3 linked regions of the Oreochromis niloticus genome follow. The protein of the gene in region 2 interacts with the protein of the main gene of each other region in a pairwise test. Links are inferred from orthologs where the notes say so. Each region holds a gene or a part of one and is shown on either strand. Other genes may lie near its edges. The genes, in order: brap, hmg20a and rpp30.

Evidence for each region.
Region 1: the proteins of hmg20a (region 2) and brap interact in a two-hybrid assay, tested with the Homo sapiens proteins (2 studies listed by BioGRID and IntAct). The link is inferred for Oreochromis niloticus from reciprocal best matches to the Homo sapiens genes HMG20A and BRAP.
Region 3: the proteins of hmg20a (region 2) and rpp30 interact in binary tests that used the Homo sapiens proteins (3 or more experiments, as listed by UniProt). The two-hybrid records come from large-scale screens. The link is inferred for Oreochromis niloticus from reciprocal best matches to the Homo sapiens genes HMG20A and RPP30.

The regions. Positions count from the first base shown.
Region 1 is NC_031972.2:11,019,259-11,026,388, reverse strand, and holds the start of brap (BRCA1-associated protein), read left to right. Parts: upstream 1-4,127; 5' UTR 4,128-4,442; coding exon 4,443-4,521; intron 4,522-4,697; coding exon 4,698-4,859; intron 4,860-6,824; coding exon 6,825-7,029; intron 7,030-7,130. UniProt on the Homo sapiens protein: Negatively regulates MAP kinase activation by limiting the formation of Raf/MEK complexes probably by inactivation of the KSR1 scaffold protein.
Region 2 is NC_031972.2:45,102,408-45,109,528, forward strand, and holds the start of hmg20a (high mobility group protein 20A), read left to right. Parts: upstream 1-4,102; 5' UTR 4,103-4,256; intron 4,257-6,237; 5' UTR 6,238-6,261; coding exon 6,262-6,327; intron 6,328-6,489; coding exon 6,490-6,699; intron 6,700-7,121. UniProt on the Homo sapiens protein: Plays a role in neuronal differentiation as chromatin-associated protein. Acts as inhibitor of HMG20B. Overcomes the repressive effects of the neuronal silencer REST and induces the activation of neuronal-specific genes.
Region 3 is NC_031973.2:2,530,033-2,538,043, reverse strand, and holds the start of rpp30 (ribonuclease P protein subunit p30), read right to left. Parts: upstream 3,106-8,011; 5' UTR 2,979-3,105; coding exon 2,897-2,978; intron 1-2,896. Other genes in the region: nudt13 (NAD(P)H pyrophosphatase NUDT13, mitochondrial), read left to right, coding at 3,494-3,594. UniProt on the Homo sapiens protein: Component of ribonuclease P, a ribonucleoprotein complex that generates mature tRNA molecules by cleaving their 5'-ends. Also a component of the MRP ribonuclease complex, which cleaves pre-rRNA sequences.

The sequences.
Region 1 (7,130 bases), about 34 Mb from region 2:
AGTTTTAGAACAGCTAATCTAATAAATTATTGTACATAATAAAGAGCAACAACCACAACTCCGTGACTAAATGAGAATATAAGACACAATAAACCACTATCTGTGTGTTGGTCAGTTATGTTTCCTTTTTATTATTGTTGACTTTATTATTTTCTGGTGATTTACAAAAAAAGAAAAACGCAGTTGAAGGATTGCTTTTCCAGCACATTGGAGAGCAAATGGGCACAATTTTACATTGAACTCATGAACTCTTTGTATCTCTTTGGATGCCTGACTGCCTGCAGGAAGCCTTCAGACTGATGTTTCCCCATACACAAATTATTGTCATTGTCATTTAAAAAAAAAAAAAAAAAAAATTAATTTCTTTGCTTCGTGTACCCTGTGTGTGTGGCTTTAGCACTAAAAGTGGAACCACCTCTGTAGTTGCAGTATTATAAAGAGCAATGTTGGAATGAGTTACTTAACCAGGGTTGGGTTTTTTCTTTTTTTTGCGGGGGGGGGATTGTTATTGTCTGCCGCTTTTTGTTTGTTTGTTTTGTTTTTTGTTTTTTAATACTAGTGGCACCATTAGTGGAAGTGGTGCTTGTAAACAAGGTCTTGTGGAATCAGGTTGTTCCAGCACAAAGAAGAAATCAGGCTTCAGAACCTTTAGAGACAGGAATGATTAGAATTATTTAAGAGACCATCTATGACTATCATAACATGAATGTTCACCAAAAACATGCTTTCTGTTGAGGCTGTGCATATGCAACTGCTTGAATTTGCGTTGCTGAAGGAAAAAGGAAAAAGTGACAGTTATAAAGATAAATGCAAAGGAGGCTGTGACTAGACTAAATATACTGATGTTCATACTAGACCAGATTATATGTCCAGCCCAACATGCAGCTTCATAGTAACTGTCCTGGGACAACTCTTCTGTCTCAGGTGTGTTTCACAGGCGGACATTGGACCTAATTGTAAATAGCTGAGGCAGCCTTTTTTTGAAGTACTGTGTGTGAGCGAGGACTTTAGTGTGTTTTTAAAAGCAGGTGCAGTAGATGCTATGAGATTTGTCCTGTTAAAATGGTTTTGTCATTCCTGCTTTATTCCCTCATCTTCCTTCCTCCCCCTACTAAAAGACTCGTGAACCAAAATGGTGTCATCAGCTGCTGCATCTTCCCAATTTGTGCAAAATCAGCATCTTGTGCTATCATCAGTAAACAGGAGGTGGAGGAAAGAAGCAAATGGAGGCATAGTTTACAAATACCAAGGGGCACTGATGGCACTGCAGGTTGTGTGCAGTTTTATTTATACTATTGTAAGAATTTGGCATAGCAATGTGAATATGTGAGAAAATGACAAACTCTTCCCCTTCCTGTTAGTCCTGAATATGCATACAGTTGCATACACATCTGCTAATAAATGCCTTTTTTTTTCTTTTTCTTTTTCTTTAAAGAGTCAAGCCCATCTGTTTGAGTGGTTGGACAGAAGGTGTCTGTGATCTGATTACATGTGTTGAGAATAATGGTTGACAATCTGGAGTGTCATCTTGCCACCCTCTTTTGTTAGAAAATGGAAAACAGAAACACTGGAATGTCAAAGCTTTTTTTAAATAAAACAAGGTAAATGTGAGGATTTTGCTGTATTTTATGTTTCCGTTATTATCAACACTAGAAGAAGTAAAAGTCGGCTTTAGATTTGGACAACTTTTCTAAATTCTAGTCCTACAGATATCCCCACAGATGCTGTTTAACAGGACCAGCCAACCAGAAGAAGTTTAGCTTTAAAAGGAGGGGAGCTACACCAGCTTGTTTCAGACACAATGAACTGAAACTTTGGAAATAAACTCAAAATACGAGTACAGGAAATTGATGTTCTTTAAATGTCTTCCCTTAAGTGCATTAGTCAGTCAGTCCATGGTGATTAAACCCAAATCATGAAGTTTCCTATACACACAGGCAACAGTCAGTTTGGATGAAACACTGAAAACAAAAGAATTTTTAAACAAATTATAAGAACCACTCATACAAAGGACCTCAACCCCAGGATGAAGAGTGTAATGGAACATTTTGTATGACACAAGATGATGAACAAAACTGGAGAGAAGGCAGAAAATCCACTGTGGTGACACCTTAAAGTAGGGGTCGGCAACCCGCGGCTCCGGAGCCGCATGCGGCTATTTAGTCTTTATTTTGCGGCTCCGGGTGGTTTGGGAAAATAAATTAGAAGTATTTAGCTAAAGTGTATTTTATTTGTGTTTAGTTCTTTTTTTAACTTGTACTTCTAAATTGGAAGATTATTGTGATTTTGAAATGTAAAAATAAAATTATATCTTATTATTTTTTCATCGCTCAAAATAAGCGTCACACTCGCAGAAGCCGGTGTACCCGCCAAAACGCCGTGCATTTATCGAGACTTTCGACACCAGGTAGGCCAATTATGGATCTGGATCCACATTATGTCAGCAGCTGTTCTCCACCGTGAACTATGTTAAAAACAAACACCGCTCACGCCTCACAGATGACAGCTTACAGTCCTGCGTAAAGATGAAAGCCCCGATTTGCAGACGCTGTGCGCAGAGGTTCGGGACCATAAGTCTTATTGTAAACATATCACGGCAGACTCGACGATGTTTGCATGAACATGCTTTTCAGCATCTCTTTATTGACCACTTTTCACACACGGTTGCTGTACGCATACAGCCGGCTGTAGCTTTTCAGCTCACAGCCCGACAACACAACAGCAGAGAGAGCACAGGCTTTAGGGCGGCGAGGCGTGATTGCGGGTGCCGCTCAGGTGCGTCCGACTCCCATGCAGCGGCACTGCAGACCACGCCCCACCACACACATTAACCAGGTAAAACATGTTTAGGCAGAATTTTGCAAATATCTAATTTTTTTTAGCAGCATAGAGCTTTTTTTCCTAATTACTTTTTAAAAGTCAGGTCAAGGCTCCAAAAGCCCAAAGGCAATATAAGGGTGGCGGCTCACAACAGTTTTTGTTTGCTACATGGATCATTTTAGTTCAGCTGGGTTTCTTTCCTTTTGTTATATTTCTTTAAGAGTTTAAAATGTGTTATTTACTTAAATAAAATTTAATTTTCTCTGTAGCACTTCATGGGATTTCATAAGCAACACACCTTAGTTGCTCTGTGGATTCTTTTAAAAAGCAGTTAAAAACTTTTCTGTTCAAACAAACCTTTTGTTGATCTACGTATTTTATATTCTTTACATTATTTACATTTGATATTTTACATTGTGTATAATGTCTATTGATTGTATTGTTTATTTTAATATTTGTGTACAGCGCTTTGTGACTGCCTGTCTGTGAAAAGCGCTTAATAAATAAACTTTACTTACTTACTTTAGTTGTTCACACAAAGCATAAAGGTAAAAAAACCCCCCCAATATATACAGTGTTATCTTCATTTTAGATTTCAAAAAGTATTTGCGGCTCCCAGTGTTTTCTTTTGCGTGGAAACCAGGTCCAAGTGGCTCTTTGGGTGTTAAAGGTTGCAGACCCCTGCCTTAAGGGAGCAGCCAAAATAAGATGATGATGAACATCCAAGAGTGTGGAGACAGAGAATGTGGCATTTGAACTCCATATCAGCTATCAGTTATTAAAATGAAGATGATGGACATTTTGGGGGCCTTTTGATTGGTGGAAGATATTAAGAACATTTCAAGGTAAAATTGAATATTCATATTTTGGCGGGCATACTTATTATTCAGAAGTCACTAAGGAGGTTCTGAGGCTGGTTTTATCTGAAGACCAGCATATGTGTTTACTTGTCAAAGAAGGTTTCTTGTAAGGAAATAAACGAGACTGTTCTATAATTAGAATGCACTTCTGTCATGAGTAAGTCAGTCATAAAAATGTCAATGTGCTATGACAAAGGGAGAAATAATGTGGGAGATTTTGCCTTGCAATACAAGGAAAAACACCTTTTCCTGTTAAAGTCGTCATCATCATCTTTTTCTTCTTTTGGCTGCTCTCTTTAGGGGTCGCCTCAGCAAAATATCTACCTCCATCTGTCCTTAGTATCTTTTTCTGTCACACCATCCGTATATAAAAAGGAACAAGAATAAATAAAACAGCAGAGGGCAGTAATGCACCGCTGTAGCGTCTACTCTGCCTTACTAAAATTAAAGATGAAAAAACTGAAGAAGACGAAGAAGAAGAAGGGGAAGTGGTTCGACACAGCTAGCTTGTATTAGATTTCAAAACAAATCTGATTTGTATTTTTATGCGCGGAAAAGAAAGAAAAAACAGTGTGCATAACATGAAAGCTTTAAAGCTAAACTGAAAGCTCTTTGCTTCTGCTGTATTTGTCTGCTTGCTGTAATTAGACACGAACTGAATATCTTGCCAGTCATCCATCTAGCTCTACGTGCTAGCTGTTTTAGCTCAGTTGTCAGCGGCTTGTTTTGTTCTGTGTTAAGTGGCAGCCCCAGTTATAACACATGAGTGTGTCACTGGTCGTTATTCGTCTGGAGTTAGCCGACCAGTCACCTTTTCCACAAGGTTTCCAGTACTGCGCTGGTGAGTTTTATTCTCTTAATTTTCAAACATCTGCTGAAAGTTAAACAGCTAACCAACAGTGGGCGTGAAGACCCATTTGTCCACTGCTAGTTGTTTTACTGTTTTCACAAGGTAATTTCAAACTAACGAGTTGCTTCATTAGAACTATGGCCTGACTCTGTTCCTCTGGTGTGCAGTTGAAGGCATGTCAGAGGAGGAGCTACAGGAGAAAGCTCTGGGTTTAGCCAAACACAGTCTGAGTGGAAAAACCGACCTGGAAAGATCAGCTGTGCTGCACCAGCACATCGGCAGCAGAGCCATGGGGGACATGGTGATAGAGACCTTTGAGCCCAACCCAAGTAAGAATTTTCCTGATGTTTAAGTGTACCTATAAAATATGAAAAGCATAAAGTCAACTGTAAGAGCAATACTTCACTGTCCTTTGGGGAAGGTTGTCTTCGGATCAAAGTTTTCATCACACTGAACCTAATTCAGCATCTTAATAACTATTAATCTCAACGTTTGCATGGTTAGTAAATAATCTTTCTAAAAAGCCAGGCAAGTGGGAAATAACAGGGAAGAAAATGAACGTGTAAAATACTGACACACTCTTTTCCATATTTGGTCATCAGGTGACTGTGTATAAAAAACACATTACTTTCTGGCCATTTTGTTAGGTTACCCCTACTATGTCAGGCCCCTTTTGCATCCAGAAATGCCTTAATTCTTCATTGCACAGGGCTAACAAGGTGCTGGAAATGAAAAAGTTTTTGGTCTATATGATGCTTTGTAGATTTGTCAGCTACGCATTTGTGACACATATCTCCCGTTCCACAACATCCCAAACATATTGTATTGCAGCAGTCCCCAACCTTTTTTGCGCCATGAACCGGTTGTGTGCTGTCCTTTAAGGTGTCGCGGATAAATACAACAAAATAAAATGATACGACCAAGACAAAAACTGTGGTATTTTATAAATATAATAATAAACGCAAATTCACTATGTAATTGTGTAACTTTATTAGCAGCGTCTTCCTGAAATGCGCCAACGACATTGAGAGTAACATCCTCCTCTCTGGTCCTTAATGTTCTCTGGTCACTATGGTAACGCATAAATGTTTCTTTCAAAATAAGACACACAACTACAACACGGGAAAAGACCCAGGGAAACCGAGTTAATGATAAAAACCCTGAAAACCATACATTTCACACCGGAGCCTCATCTCTTGCGGCCTGGTACCAAACAACTCACGGACCGGTACCGGTCCGAGGCCCGGGGGTTGGGGACCGCTGTTCTAAATGTCCCAAGAAACTGTCTCCCACAGTATTATTCTGCCACCCATCTGAACCATTGATGCAAGCCAGGATCCATACTTTCATGTTTTTTTGCTTGAAATTCTCACCTTACCAGCCAAATGTTGCAGAAGAAAACTAGACTCATCAGAGCAGACAACATTTTTCACATCCCCTAATTGTTTGGCTTTTGTCTGAATTGTAGCCTGTGGAGATGGATGTGCTGGAAAATCCCAGTGGATTATCAGTTTCTAAAATACTCATACCAGTCCTTCTGGCACTAACAACCATGCCATGTTCAAAGTAATTTAAGTCGCCTTTGGCCTCCATAAATAAAATTTGCCATTTATACATATTCATCCTCTTTCTTGTCTTCTCATTTCTTAGTTTGTAGAGCCTCAGTTTCTCTTTTCGCCTCTACTCACATCTTACTTCATTCCTTCTGAGAGATGTGAGCTGAGGAAGTGACAAATTTTAAAGCCATTTTAAATAATTAGAACATTTGGCTCAGCAAAATTATTTTCAAAGTATTTTTTTTCCACAGTCTACTTTTGTTCAGAGATTTCAGATGAGAATATTTAGGTATATTTAGGCGTAGAATAGGCCTGCGTGTCTATTCTAGCTGTGAACCAGCTCTTTCATGCATGGAGGTTAAAAACACTTCTCCAAATGATCGTCTGGCAAGCCTCCTCTCTCCTCTGTCCTGTAGATGCGTTCTAAGAATGAAGACATCCTTTAGCATGGTGCATTGAGATCGATTTTCCTCTCACAGGCAGGCGTGTGGAGGACAGATGAGGAGACACAAATTAGAGAATCAAATGTAATCAGTTCTGATAAATGGATTTAATTAGGATATATTTAATTACATTAGTCTTTTGGGGAGTTATTTTACATATTCATAGACCAATGTTTTATTTTGTTTTTTTTAATTCTTGTAAGCAGGAATGAAAGTAAGCCAATTCAAGTTTGGTTTTGTCTGTTCATCCACATTCAAAATATATATAATTTAAATTGCTGAATTTCTCTTTCAGACACAGGTGGACGTGAGGAGCGAAACAGTGAAGTTCAGGATGCAAAGACTGGTGTAGACAGTCAGGAGGGTGCAGAGGACAGGAGGTTTGTGACAGGCACAGCTCTGGACTCACCCTCCAAGCAGCTGCCGGACCAGATCTCTTTCTTCAGCGGGAACCCCTCAGTGGAGATCATTCACGGTATCATGCACCTCTACAAGACCAAGTGAGTCTCATCTGGTGTGTTTATGATAGATGTGATGAGGTGAACATAAGGGATCATTATTTGGGCACTTTTTACCAGATCATTGTCAGCTAAAATGTAGC
Region 2 (7,121 bases):
CACTGCTTGGAGCCGAACAGTCAGAAAGCAACACTTTTGTGTTCCAAGTCAGCCAATTAGTGACAAACACGATTCTACATAGCAAGGCTACCTCTTATAAAATTCATGACTGTTAGAGACCTAGAATATGAAATATCTGCTGGTAGAGTTGCCATTTTTATTGCCGGACGCTTTTTCCAACCTCGCCAATATCAGGTTCTTTTTGTGTGCTCATTGTCATTATTATTTTAAATCCCAGAGTGGAGAAAAAAAATACAGCCTCATATGGTAAACAACTTTTCTGGCCGTGTTGCATTGACCAGTTTAGTGTAGCTTGTCAGAGTTTGGTTTGAGATGCATGGACTTAGAGTTTTTGCACTAGTGTTCAATATTTTCCTGCAGGGAAAAATCCCACTGCAGAAAAACCCAAAAATGTCAGTTTTGCCACAGACAGCAGGCTCTGAATGAGATGTACCCACAAGACACTTGACTTAGAGCTGTTACTCCTCTTTTTAACCTGCCAGGACAAGCTCACTTTGTCAGTGTAACTGCTGCTACAGCACCTCTGTGGGTACAACGGGATAACCAACAGCTACACTAGAAATCAAGGCAGCTCTGTTTAATATGAAAACTTCTTTTTGAAATAATAGCAGCAAATAGATTCTAAACTTCATAGTGTTTAAATGTTAGAGATCTCATATTGCCTGGAATTTGATGTTGTGATTGTGTGAACAAGATATTGTAAAATAAATATATAAATAAATAAATAAAGACTCTCTTTTCTAAAAATCTAACGGGTGGCTTGATGCACCCAATCTGTGCCGAAGAACTGGGTTGGATTACCTCAGGATAATTGGAGTGAGATTACAATCAAAGTTTTAATTAGACTGCAGCTACAGTTGGTTTACTCCTGCCTGGGTGTCGATTTACGATCTGTTAATTAAGAATTAGCGCATTAGCCTTCCCTGTCTCGCTCTCCCTCTCGGAAGCACACGCTTTTATCTTGCATCTTAGCGAAGGTTTTAGTTCTGTTTCTCACACCAAGACTGTTTGAACACCCCACATTAACCCACAGAGAAAGTTGTGATTTTATCTACACCTACGTGGATGTGTACTCAAATCCACCCTTAGTTACAAAGAACAAACACAACCTTGTTTTGCTTTTCAAAGGTATTTTTAACAATCTTGAGGAACAGGTATTTTTACTTGATCTATAAAGTAATTATATTAACAGTTAGTGTAATGTAATAACTTCACATGTAACTTTTTTCAAGTCTAAGACTCAAAAGTCAAAGTCACAATGTCATAAAACCTGAATAATCCCTCTAAATTTTGGAATCAGATAAAATTACTGGCATGTTCCCAGTTCTACTCCAGTCCTGCCTGAATATATATTTATTAAATGAGTTGAGATTAAGAGTAAAGCTGACATTGTTGGACATTTTAATGAACAGCTAGTTCTGTTTTTAATACAAATGTGGCAAAGTGTCTGTGTTCTGATTTGAATGTCATCTTGCCTTTTCAAAGAACCCTTTTGTCTTTAGACCTGTTTTGACTGTGGTGACTCGCAAAGCTTTGAAATCCACTGATCCAAAAAAGGTTATCTAGACCTGACAGTCTGAATACTTATCTTTTCAAGCATGTAGCTGATTTTATTATTGAGCCTGTTATGGCTGTTTTTAATCTGAGTCCCTAGAATAATATGATAATACCTGGAAAATAATAATACCTGGAAAGCAGTCTATGTCTCTCTCGGGGCGATCGTGGCTCAAGAGTTGGGAGTTCGCCTTGTAATCGGAAGGTTGCCGGTTCGAGCCCCGGCTTGGACAGTCTTCACCCGTTGCCTACTGGTGGTGGTCAGTGGCCCGGTGGCGCCAGTGTCCGGCAGCCTCGCCTCTGTCAGTGCGCCCCAGGGTGGCTGTGGCTACAATGTAGCTTGCCATCACCAGTGTGTGAATGGGTGGATGACTGGTTGTGTGAAGCGCTTTGGGGTCCTTAGAGACTAGTAAAGCGCTATACAAATACAGGCCATGTTTGCCCCTTATTAAAATTTAAACAATTATCCCCCTGCATCCACACTTTCAATGTGGATGCAACTCTCAGTTGAAAGAATACTTGGTTGACAATAAGATTGTATGTGAAACCCAGTCTGGCCTTAGACTAGGTCATAGCAACAAATAGGTTGGTAACAAATTATATTAATATCATTAATTCCTTGGACAGGAAGCATCTGTGCCGCCTCGGTTGCTAATCGAGGCGGCACAGATGAATGGGTTATGCTAAAGGCATTGATTCTGTAGACCGAGCTGTTGTTAGGCTCAGTGATGTTGCTTTCAGCTCAGGAGCTACTTGAACCAGCCATCTGTATTAACACTATGTTTATACAGATGGATACAAGTCAAACTTTTAAAAGGAATCCCCTAAAGTTCAGTTTTAGTTTGTTTTGATAATGGCTCTGTTTAATTTTCTGTTTTTTATTAATAACATTGGGAAGCTAAAGTGGAACTTTATGCAGGTGACACAATACTTTACTCAGCTGGCTTCAGTCTGGATCAGATGGTAAACGGACTGATTCTTATATAGCACTTTTCTACTCTCTTGGAGTACTCAAAGCGCTCTGTACAACATGCCACATTCACCCAGGCACACAAGCACTTTCTTCTAAACTACAGTCATACTTTGATGGATGAATCGGAGAGCAATGTGGGGTTAATATCTTGACAGTATCCTTCAGAACAAGGATAGAGCAAGGATACTTGATATCCAGGAGTCCAGGAAACCACTAACCTTCCGATCAGTTGGTGATCTGTTCTACCTCATGAGCTACAGCCACCCACAGTTATCATTGCATCATTGCATAATGCTGCTTTCCAGAAAACACGTCCAGATCTCTCACAAAATGTTTGTTTTTATTTGCTAGGCATAGACTTTATTGAAAGAGTATCAACCAATAAATATTTAGGTATTTATGCTTTAGAGAGCACCTTGTGCATTCTTATACTCTCTTGATTATGCTCACCTTTACCTTTCACACATTTACATACATGCTGCCTTCTCTGCACTTTACATTTCATAATAATATCATTTTATAATCTGGTTTCTTGTCCCTCATTAAGCTGGTAAACAGCACTGGTATATTTGTACACCCTTTCTTATCTGTGTAAACTCCTAAAACATCAGCTACTAATTTGCACTCCTCTGTAGGATTTCTTCTGAACTTGGTAGTGCAAACTTCTCTTTTTTTGAATGTGTTAGTCTCCCTTGGAGAGTTCAGCGCTATTATAAAGTCTTCTGCATTTGAAGAGTGCAAGTGTTATTCATAAGCTGGACTCTATGTATTTATTCATTCTATTTTTATATTATGTTCCTGTTATGTTAACTTTGACCTGCTTATTTCCTCTTATGTGTACTGAGTTATAATTCATTTATAATTTGTAATTTTGCAATGGTGTACCATCTTGGACAGGCCTCCCTTGCAAAAGAGAGAATAATCTCGAGGGATTTCCTAGTTAAATAAAGGCTAAATAAAATAAATAACAGTGGTACTTGAATTAATGTGGATTGTCTTATAAATTACAAAAAGATTAAAGACTCCTAACTGCAGCCCAAATCAGAAAAAAGATTTTCATCTCATCCATTAAATACTTCTAACAAGCTCTGGTTTGTAGCTTGTTCCTGTGTTTGATTAGAAAGGCTTAAGGCTTGAAATTTCTCAAGAGATTTTGACTTTGAAAAACGTATCCATTTAAGACATGTAATGCTTATACTCAACCGTAGGGGGAGGTAGCGCTCTAAATGAGGGTGGTTGGTTGGGTACACGAAGAAAAATGAGACCAAGAATTAGAAAGCATAGAGCAGTTCGCTGTATAGAATCAAAGAAAATCAGCTTTTGGGGGTTTTAAAGACATCACGTAGAAAATATTTTCTAATTTTCGTTTCTTATGCTGTTTTTTTCTGGTGCTTGTTTTGCATGGGTGGAATCAGAGACCACCCAGTTACAGTCAAATGTATAAATGTATTGCCTATTATATATATATATTCAGAAAAGTCGCATTGCGCTATAAATACATTGCTTTTCTCATAACTGCCAAAAAAGCACTGATAATATGAAACATCAAATCATACGCGTAGGGAAAACCGTCTGTAGTAGGACTAAGTACATCAGGAGCCCCCATGCTTTCTGTCTATCTGGTGCGATTCTATCTGAGTGGACATTTTTATTGTTTTGATTAGGAAAATATTCTGGGCAGCTCCAGCTAGAGGGTGCGTTATATAAGGTTGGTTTCCACACAATGGCTTCCGTTATATCCACATAAAATATTTAGATTCCTGATGTATCAAATCACATGTCAAGGTTAAATGAAAACAAAGGCTTTCGATGACCCATCTTCATGCTAATGGCTTGCTAATGCTAGCTAGGAGCACACTTCGCAATCAGCTAAGAAGTTTAATATATTAGTGTTAGCTTGTTACTTCTGATAATTATCATTTGAATATGTCTCCCTTTTTTATGTCGATTGATTGACATTCAGCTGACACACAGCCCAAGAGTGAGGTTTGCCTGTCGCAGCTGTTGAAGTTAGCTTTGCTTAGCAAGTGTATGTTAGCATCATGTAGCAGCCAGTATAGTTCGCTATTCCTGCTGGCCAAATGGATTATTATTTATTTATTTAATTTTTAGCGATACATCAGTATAATAGCCCACATAAACATCTAGCTACATAAGTTAAATGTAAGTCTAATCACTATCTGGCCTAGCGTGTTACTGTTTAAACATACTACTTCAGGGGTTAGGCCTTTAATGGCTAAACGCTAATGGTTGATTATCACACAGAGAAGATCCCACATACACATACATAAACGTCGTAACGACTGACAGAGAGCTCCTAAACCTAACCTAACAGCATCCTGCGGTGTCTAATAATTTATAGCTGCTGCTGTGTAAAATATAGAAACATCAGTTGGCCTAGATACCTCCTTGTACCAAAGTAAAGCTGTATACTATAATAAAGGACAAAGCGCACTCTGGTATATGCCTTATGGTGATCACATACTGCTTCAATATGTCACCGTGTAAAAAGTGAAACTATTAAACCTCATATTTTATCTCACAGATTGTGATAGTGGACCATTTTATCTGGAGAAAAGAGATTTGAGTCATGCATCATGTGCTAAGGTCCAGCAGAGGGCACTGTGGCATAGCCTTTTTCTGCTACACAGAGCATCTGTTTAGTCTTTTCTGTGCTCGTTTTTACTTTTTAGTGAGTTTTTTTTTTCATAGTCAAACCCAGCGTCTTACAACCTAACCCAGAACTCCTAAAGTAACATCAAATAAGCTTCCTTGGATGACAGATGGGGGATAAGTTTGCAGAATCACTGGATTTTATTATCACTTCTTCAGGGTCTGAAAAAAAGTCTAACAAAGAAAACCCTGGCTTACCCCTCTTTTCTGGGGGGGGCTTTCCATAAGAGCTTTTTGTGGTAGACTGACTAATTCCTCTGTGACTTTTCCCACAGTATTTAATGGCAGAGGGCAGAAACCACATCCAGGCTAAAGAGGTGTATTTCCCATGTTGTCAAAGGAGAGGTCAAAGGTTAAAATGCACAATGTTGCTCCTATATTTACAGCTCAACCTGGGCTGCAGCTGCCCAAATCAGCACAGGTTTTAATTTGGTGCTATTGCCATTCATTTGGGGTTTTTTGCACCGATGCTTTGCAGTGTTTTCAAGTGGGTTAGAGACTCCAAAAATATGGCGATTCCAGTTAATCTCATTTTTTAAAGCACTGATATTTGGTGAGTGAGTGTGCTTTTATTGAGAGAGTGTTTTAGCACGTTCAGTGGTGTTCTCTTATCTCCAAGTTTAAGGCAATACTGCCACACTGCTGCTGTTAAAAATAGGCTGCGTTAGTGCTTGAGAAGTGAATGTGTTATGTTTTTCTTTTTTCATTTACTTGCTCAATTGTGATTGATAGCAGCAAGACATTTCTATTAGAGGAAATGAGGCTGGCCAAGAGACTGTTTTGCAGCCAAGCCTGGGTGGAGTTTGGACAAGAAGCCGATCAGTCTCAAAATGCTTAACCCACCTTTGGGCAGCAATCTATGGCCTAGTTTTTCACCTGACTGCCATAGATGGCACAATCTTTAGGTTAACTAAACATTGGCCTTTTGAGATCGTATATTCATGTTTTAAAAATAGTTTATTGGCCGTTTCTGCTGTGAAATGTTTTTTGTTCTAACATCTAGTGTTTCCCTCCAGATCTAATCTTCCGTCGTAAGAGTCATGGATGAGCAGACGGGCTCACCTGCAGCCAATGCTGACAACAACAGCCAGAGAAACGGAGATGAGGTAAGAGGTGAACACACAGATATCGAATGACACGTTTAAAAAAAATACATATATAAATTAATAAAAATTCCAGTTCACACTGAAAGAAAGTCTTGCCAGTACACGTCAGGGTAGAACTCCTACGTGAACCTTTAAAACATGTTTGTTTTCGTTATCTCGCAGAAACCCCGACGTGGCAGCTGGACCAAGGGGAGGAAGAGGAAGAAGCCAATGAAGGACAGCAACGCTCCCAAGGCCCCCCTGACGGGCTACGTTCGCTTCATGAACGACAGACGGGAGCAGCTACGGGCAGAGCGTCCAGACGTGCCCTTTCCAGAGATTACAAGGATGCTGGGCAACGAGTGGAGCAAGCTGCCCCCCGAGGAGAAGCAGGTCAGCAGAGAAGTTCGAGACAGGATTACACAGTGAGCCCACAGTGGCGGAGAGACATGTGTCAAACATTTCTGTTGGCATTTCTTTCCATCTGTTTTAAGATTACCTGCAAAAGGATTAAAAACAAATCTCTATGTTTTCACTCACGTCCAACTATGGAGTGCAGCTTTTGAGAAAGCAGTGGAAGAAAATAAAGAGAGCAGAAGCAAGCGATATTCATCTGGAACCTGCCAACACAGAATATCCCTTGCCAGATTTAACAATACCTCAGACCAGCAAAGCATCATGTAATTTTTCACTTTGCACAAAAACGGCTTAGGGAAAAACTTCCCTTAGAATCCATAGCAACCGTGTGTTTGGAGCTGACAAAGAAATTCTGACGGCTTCTAACAGATCGTAGCTTGATGCCCTCAAATGCAATA
Region 3 (8,011 bases), on a different chromosome or scaffold from region 2:
TTTTCCATTTTGTTTTCCACACACACCAAACCATGAATCAGGTTGTCACCCTTCAGATTATAATCCTGTAACCATGGACACGGCTGATGTACCTATCCCCACAGCTTGCGACCCTGAAAAGGATAAGCGGAAGCGAATGGATGGATGGATGGATGTTTTCCATTTTGTTTTAACTGAACTCGTAAAACCATTAAAAATTGCTGATTTTTGAATGGAGTCTGGTTTGGCTGTTGTTTGTTGTTTTGGGTGCAAATCTGATCACTTAAACTTGACTGACAGGATGTTTCACTGATAATAAAGTGACCATGAGAGGCTGAAGACATCAAACCCTCCTCAATGACAGGAGGAGGGCATCAGAGAAGAGGTGAGACTGGTTCAGGTGTTACTGAGAGACGAGATCAGAGAGGATAAGGACATTTACAGGAGGAAGCAGAACAGCATGAGAGAGCAGAGGAGGGTGAGGGCAGAGGTAAGGAGTGAATGTGTTGTTCACCAGATTTACACTGCAGGTAAAGCGCCTCCCGCTATAGCCTTACCTGCAGTCAGCCTGCAGTCCACAGCCATACCCCTCCCACACCTGTCACTTTCACTCACAACCAGGTTCAGAGACAAACGAGAAGACTCCACTCAGCCAGGTCTGCTGGACCAGCCGGCGAGGACCATCAGGCCGAGCCTCCTGGGTGATGAGCTAACAGCGATGCAGGTGGATGCTTCTCTGGTGTCCTGGATTGTTGTTACCTAACAGGAAGACCACAATGTGTGCGTCTTCCACAGTGTGTGTCTGACAAGGTGATCAGCAACACAGGGGCACCACAAGGGACCGTCCTCTCCCCCTCCACACCACAGACTTCAGCCACTGACCTCCATCTTCAGAAGATTCTGATGACTCTGCGGTGGTTGGATGCATCAGTGAGGGTGATGAGTCAGAGTACCGGGCTGTGGTCGACTCCTTTGTCACGTCACGCAGAATCATCTGCAGCTCAATGTGGCAAAGACCAAAGAACTGATTGTGGACTTTAGGAGGGCCAGGAAACCTGTGACCCCTGTTTCAATCCAGGATGAGGATGTTGTGGAGGACTATAAATACCTCAGAGTGCACATAGATAATAAACTGGACTGGGTTAAAAACACCACTGCCCTCTACAGGCAGTCCCGGAGTCGTCTCTGAGGTCCTTCAACATCTGTCGGACAATGCTCAGGAGTTTCTATGAGTCTGTTATGGTCAGTGCTATCCACTGTGCTGCTGCATGCTGGGACAGCAGGTTGAGGGTTGCTGATGCCAACAGACTCAATAAACTGATCACAAGGCCAGTAATGTTGTGGGGATGGAGCTGGACTCCCTTAGGGTGGTGTCTGAGAGATGGATGTTGTCCAAAATAAAGACAATACTGGACAATACCTCCCACCCACTCCATGACATGCTGGCCAATAGGGCTGGGCCATATGGCGGAAAAAGCATGGCGGCAACGGAGAATGAGAAGGGCGAAAGCGGATCGTTGAGTGAAACAGATGAACCAGAACTGGTTTGTAAAAATGCTGCAACGTCAGTGGTGTGGAACTGGTTTAGCTTTCGTCCGTCAGATACACAACAAAGCACTATTTTTGGTAGCGCATGCTAGCGGGCCGTCGTTATTGCCCTGTTTTTTGGAAAATACGGCACACTTAAAATCAATCCTTTGATTTTTCTGAAAATCGACAGTGCCCCTTATAATCTCGCGTTATGTATGAATTCTGGTTGTGCTTACTGACCTCGGCGGTACACGTGGTACACGGCGCTCGAAAATCTGTTAAATGTTTTAGTAGGACTTTGTTAAGCTACGAAGCCGCACCGCTTGATGGATTGTCGGAGCATTACGGCTATCGTAGGCAGGAGCCTGGCGGAGTGATACGTACTGTGCTTCAACATAATATTACCGTATTGTGTGTGTATAACCTCTTTTTAAGGTTTGTGGATATTATACATGGTTATGTTGAGGATATGTCGCCAGTTTCCACTAGAAATGCCTTTTGGTTAAACTTTTAGCAAGGAATTTGCATTTGCACTGTTAAATTTTTATATAACTTTAATGCACATAAAAAAACAGCTGCTTGTTTAAGTGAAAATACATTGATGGGGATTTTGTACTAATAAAGTTGCGGAGTTGTAAAGTATTTTGTCTAGTGTCAATTATATCGTCAGTTATATTGTTATCTCAAATTTTCAAATGTATATCGTGATAAATATTTTTGGTCATATCACCCTGCTCTACTGGCCAATCACAGGAGCACGCTCAGTGAGAGACTGAGATTACCCATGATGCACCACTGAACGACACCGGAAGTCATTCCTGCCCGTGTCCATCTCCCTGTATAACTCCTCCATCTAACACACTGTAAACACTGTAATAGTTAGAGCCTCACTATCTGCACACACAGAGGAACGAAGTCAGCAGGACAAGAGGGCAGCTCAGTGTTAACACTTATATATTTACTGTGTGTAATTGTTTATAGAGCTGTTTGTTCTAAGCTGTATTATGTCACTTAGTTCAGTGTGTTACGGCTCTGGCTTGGAACAACTGTGAACACATAATTAAAATCATCAGTCTCTGAGGAATACGAGAGTACAGACTTTTGTTTACATTTCTGCAAACCGCGGAGAAACCTTAAAATGACAGTTTTTTAAATGGAGTCTGGTGGAAAACTTCTTGCTTGCCCTCTGAGAGATCTGACCTGAGATGGTCCTGTAAGTGAAGTTTCAGCAGCAGCTCAGAGAGCAGGCACAAAGTTTTCCACCAGACTCCATTCAAAAAACAGTCATTTTTAAAGCTGCTGCTTCGGGAGCCAGCAGCGTTACGTCCCCGGGCTCAGCAGCGGCAGGCCGGCGCACAGAGCGTTGTCTGCGGCCGCGGACACTCACGGTGAGCCGCCGTCTCTACGACGCTGCGCAGGTCGCTCCTGTCCGGGAGAAACGGCACGTTCAGGTCCATAAACACCGCCATGATGCCTCCGTCCGCCGCTCCACCACGTGTGCGCAGCTGCAAAGACTGCTGGGAACAGCAGTCCTCACGTCACAGGCGGAAGTAGCATTAAAGTCGTTTTTACCTGTCTGAGGTGAAAACTGAATATGAAACCTTTATTTATTCAAACTGTGAAACACTGGAAATAAAGTTTTAACAGGCAGACTGATGGATGTTCAGCCCTGTCAGAGCCACGCCTGTCCACAGTACAATAATAACAGTCAAATAATGACGCGAACAGTGACGTCATATTTCAATTATATTCATTATATCAAATTAATGTTTTCTATCGTATAATTAATATAATATTATATTTTACACACAGAGTTTTATTTTTAAATACATTTACATTTCAGTTCTATCATAACATATATTTATAATATATAAGCGATAAATTACACGAATGAATGAATCATAATATAATTATAATTCCTGTAAGTGTGGCGTTTGTCCTGCAGGGGGCGGTAGTTTTCTTGCTGTTATTGTCGTGCAGCAACATGAAAATAAGAGCAGAAGAAGAAGAAGCAGTAGCGTCAGAAGCTCCACAGGAAGGAAAGAGACTCACACCAGACTCCGTTCAAAAAGTGGCTGATTTAAGGTCAGAGCTGCAGGAACTGTGGGTGTAACTCATTGACTGTAGAAAACATGGACGACGCCACAGCTCCCCAAAAATGAAGCCAAAACGTCTCTATCGCCCCCTGGTGTCTGGCTGCAGTATAGGTCATAAACCCCGCCTCCTCCATGTTAGCGGATGGGACTGGGGTCAGACTAAAATAAATTTATTCTCCTTAGATAATGTTTTTCCAAAGATTCTTTCTTTTGTTATCAATAGTTCTCATCATGCTGATTGATGTCCAAGGGGTCTCCTTTCCCATAAGTTTGATTCTAATTCCTACCGCGGCGATGTTAAATTGGGGTGAAACGTCATCATAGCAGCTTTGACTGGCAGCTGCAGTCACGGAGAAACTTGCGTATCTCTGTTCGGGAATAGCAGATAGAGCGTAGATTCTGAGAGGAGGGCCAGCGTTTACGCTACGAAAACACGACCGAGTGTTTTAACCTGACAGCCTGAGGTGTTCTTCAGTAAACTGGACTACCCGACAGAAGGACCCGAGGCCCGGCTGCACTTTTTCGGTAAGTTAATCGTGTTTGTAAGCTAATCCGTAACTACCGTCCTTAGCTATGTCCCGAGACCTAGCTAGCTAAAATGAGCACTCGGCTGTCAGGGTTCGTTTAGCTAATCTGTGCAGGTGAATGAATTTACTAAAGAAATCAAGAGAAACGTTCCGGGCTAATCAGTCACTAATTACTGTACTTTTATTACAAGTATTATACTGTAAAAGCATCAGGCTGCACCCTGCTGCAGCTCCTGTGCAGAACTGAATATTAAATATGTGCAAACAGCATGTTTTCAGTCTCTTGCCACATCTGTAAAGACAGTAACATCTTTTTTTAAAAGCTTGTACTTCAGTAACTCCTCATTAATCAGGAAATATGGATTAAAGTACTGTAGTGTACTGTAATACTGAAAAAAATGTAAGAGAAGAACTTCAGATCCTGAGTGTGTGAGGACAGAAGAATCAGCTTCATTTCAATTTTGAGGGATAAAATTTATATTTGAGTTTGATGGTTCTGTTGTCTTTGTGATTACAGGAGCTGCCCTCAGATTCAGACCTCAGCACCACCCAGTGACAGCAGACAGATCATCCAACATGTTAACTGCAAAATGAACTGATGAAAACAGTACAAAGGTTAAAGTACCACACGTGCTGTAGTGAAAGCTGCAGCTTTATTGATAAAGTTAAAGACAAAAAAACAAAAGGATTAATCACTCATGTAACTGTGTCACTATATATCAGCATTAACAGGACCTCAGTTTGTATCTCAGACCTGCACAGCTTCCGTTTTAAACACTTGATGTACTCAGCTGCATGAAGAGCATATGAGATTTTCTCTGGCACAATTAAATAAAATCTGATGAAGATCAAACATCATCACTTGTATGTTGAACTACAAACTTGTCATCTGGAATTCTTTCACAGTTTTTTGCAGATAATGTGTTATTTACCATAAAGTGATTCAGAGTTATTCATACCAGAGTAACCAGAGAGGATCATATATTTTTAAATATATAACTTTCTACAGGACTGAATATAATATCTTTATGTAAAAGTCTGGAGCCTCTGGGGAGTATCCGAGTATTTATAACATTACACAAACCAAAGGTCTCCATCACAGTGTTCATGAAATGCTGGGTTTATCCATCTCCTGGATCGGGCCTATGGAGGAGTGCTGAAGATTTCCCTGTGAGGGAGCTGCTGGTGAAGATCATGAGTCCTGCTTGATCAATGCGATGAGCTTCAGTCTTCCTGGTGTTTCTTAAATGAAGCCTCTTTCAGTAGGTCAACAGCACCTTTAGCACAGAACAGCTGTGATGAAAGAAAAGGAAGAAGTTTCTCCAAACCTCTGGACCCAGGAAACCCAGCTTGGTCCTGATGGTCTCCCTCACTAGTTTCTCCCCAGGGTGAATGTAGCTGTTGATATAATGTGGACTCTATTATTAAATGAAAAGAACAAATTAGACTACACTATTGAAACGTTCTGCTGATGTTTTTAAAGTCTCCATGTTACCAGGCTGTAGAGGGCTCTGAAGATTTAAACAGTTTTAGATCCATTACACTCACAGTCTTATGTTAAAATCTCAAAGGACAGCATTATATTTTTGATATTAACAGTAACTCTGGGCTTCTGTAGCGTGTGCAGATGATCTCATCGCTGTCTAAAAATGGATAACAAACATAAGAAGTGCTGAATCCTTCAATAACAGACTATTAGAGTATTAGGTGTGTAGCATCGCTAACTAGCTAACAACAAGCCTCCAACACAGTGCGTATGCTAGCGGCTAATCTAGCAAACGAATTAACAACAAAGTGATTTTAGAACTATAAGATGATAAGCTGTGCGTCTTTTTTTAATAACAGTGACATGGTTGTATTTACCTTAATTAAAGAGTCGTCAGTCGCGGTAAACCAGCAAAAAAACTTGAGCAGCCGGGCTACGTAAAAAGTGTAGGGGGGCGTGTTTGCGGTCATGTCCAGCGGGTGTGTGGGCGGGAGCGTTACACAGTCGCTCCACCTCAAGTCACTACTGCGCAGACTCTGGCTCCAAATTTGCAAGATGGCAGCCTCCACAAGCGGGATATTTTGGCTTCATTTTTGCACAATGGTAGGAGGCGGAGTCGCGTCGTCCATGTTTTCTACAGTCAATGGTGTAACTGCAGACGGTTACTGCAGGGTTCAAGGTGGAGGCTCCCTCTGCTGTGGGTGGGGTTAAAGGGCAGGTCACGTGGTGATTGGCTCCAGCAGATTCTTGTCCAGGCCGTGACCAACTGATCAGCTGACTTCAGCAGCTTTTACAACAGCTGATTATTGGCTGAATGGGTCTAATCGACCTTTGACCTCACTCATCTGTTTCCAAGGCAACTGACATTAAAACAAAATGCTCCTGTCCTTCCTGCACTGCATGCTGGGAGTGTGAGTGAGTTTGTTTGGGCTATATTTTCAGAAGCTTTACACCCTGTGGTTGTTTGTTGGTTGTTCGTTGGTTAAAGGTAAGATAAGTTTATTTCACTGGGTTGGAGTTTCAGTTAACAGTTGTAGTGTAGACGTGGGGTGAAGCAGGCTCTGTCAGCTGCTGGAGAACAGGTGGGCCACGAGAACATCACTTACGGCTCTCGGAGGAACAAGGCCGTAGTTGTCGTTCTCCGTGACGAATGGTTGGTCCACCTTCATGGTGAAAGGAGCATCGTTGACTTGTTTATGGACGCTTCACCTTTATTCATGCTTCAGCGCGAATCACCATGTCCGGTGATCTGATCCAAAAACAGCTGACCCGCTTTGGCAAGTTCGCCAGCGGGCTCGGGGTGGTTGGTCTCGGCTGTGATGACGGCAGGGTGCAGCACGTTCAGTCTGTACGGAGACAGGTGTGCGTTACCTGAGTGACCCTGCTGTATCATGTAAGGTTAAATATGAGAACGTGGTTTACACAGCTGGTAGTCTCGGTGCTGTGAGTGCGGCAACGTTGGCCATGAACGCTCATCAGGGCTGCACAATTAGAGGCTGCGGAGAGAAGCTGTGGCACGCAGCAGACAGGTAACACTGTCAGCAACGACCTACCTGTGGGGTCAGCCGGTTACCTATGTGATGCTGCTGCAGGTGAGCAGCAGGCCCAGCTCAGTGCACGAACAGGAACAAGTGATACAGGATTTTCAGGTCACAGGATGATGAACAGCAGTCATAAAGTCTGTGCTGAGCGTCTTTTTAACAAACTGCACAGTAACTCAAACAGATAAGCAGTAGCTCGGTTATAGGAGTAGGCGGGGACTGGACACAGACCAGAAACACGGCAGAGAACGAGCTCACTGATGTGTGGAGAAAATAAACCCAGGAATTAAAATATACTCATGAGTCAAAGTGACAGTTGTCACTGTAAAAGCAGCCAGCTTAGACGGGGTTTTAACAGCAGTGATAAGGTCAGCAGCATCACCTGTGGGCTTCATCATCGGACCATCGTGCAGCAGTAGCACCGCAGCTGTGCTCGCATTAACAGTTCAGTGTTCAGGATGAGATTTTCTGTTAAGCTTTCAGTCTTTTTTGGAGCCAGTGGGTGTCGAGGAAAATCCCTTGAAATCGTTAACTCAGTGGGAAATCAGGAAAACTTGAATGAGAATCTTTTGTCTACAAACAATCTATATCAGCTACAGGAGGGAACAGTGGACACTGGGAAATGTGTGTTTTTTTTCCTGCTTTTCCACCACTGCAGTGCTGCAGTAGAGGAGTGAACGTCTTTAACAGAGCTTCGTTACTCGGTGCTCTGCAGTCAAGGTGGTGCGGTGCTTTTGCAGCAGGTTCTCCGAGAGGCAGCTGGAGGTCCATGTGCAAGCCTCCACTGCAGAAACGCAGTGTGGCTCTGCACTGGGGGGGGTCCATGGGTCCACCCTGCAACATTAGTGGGGT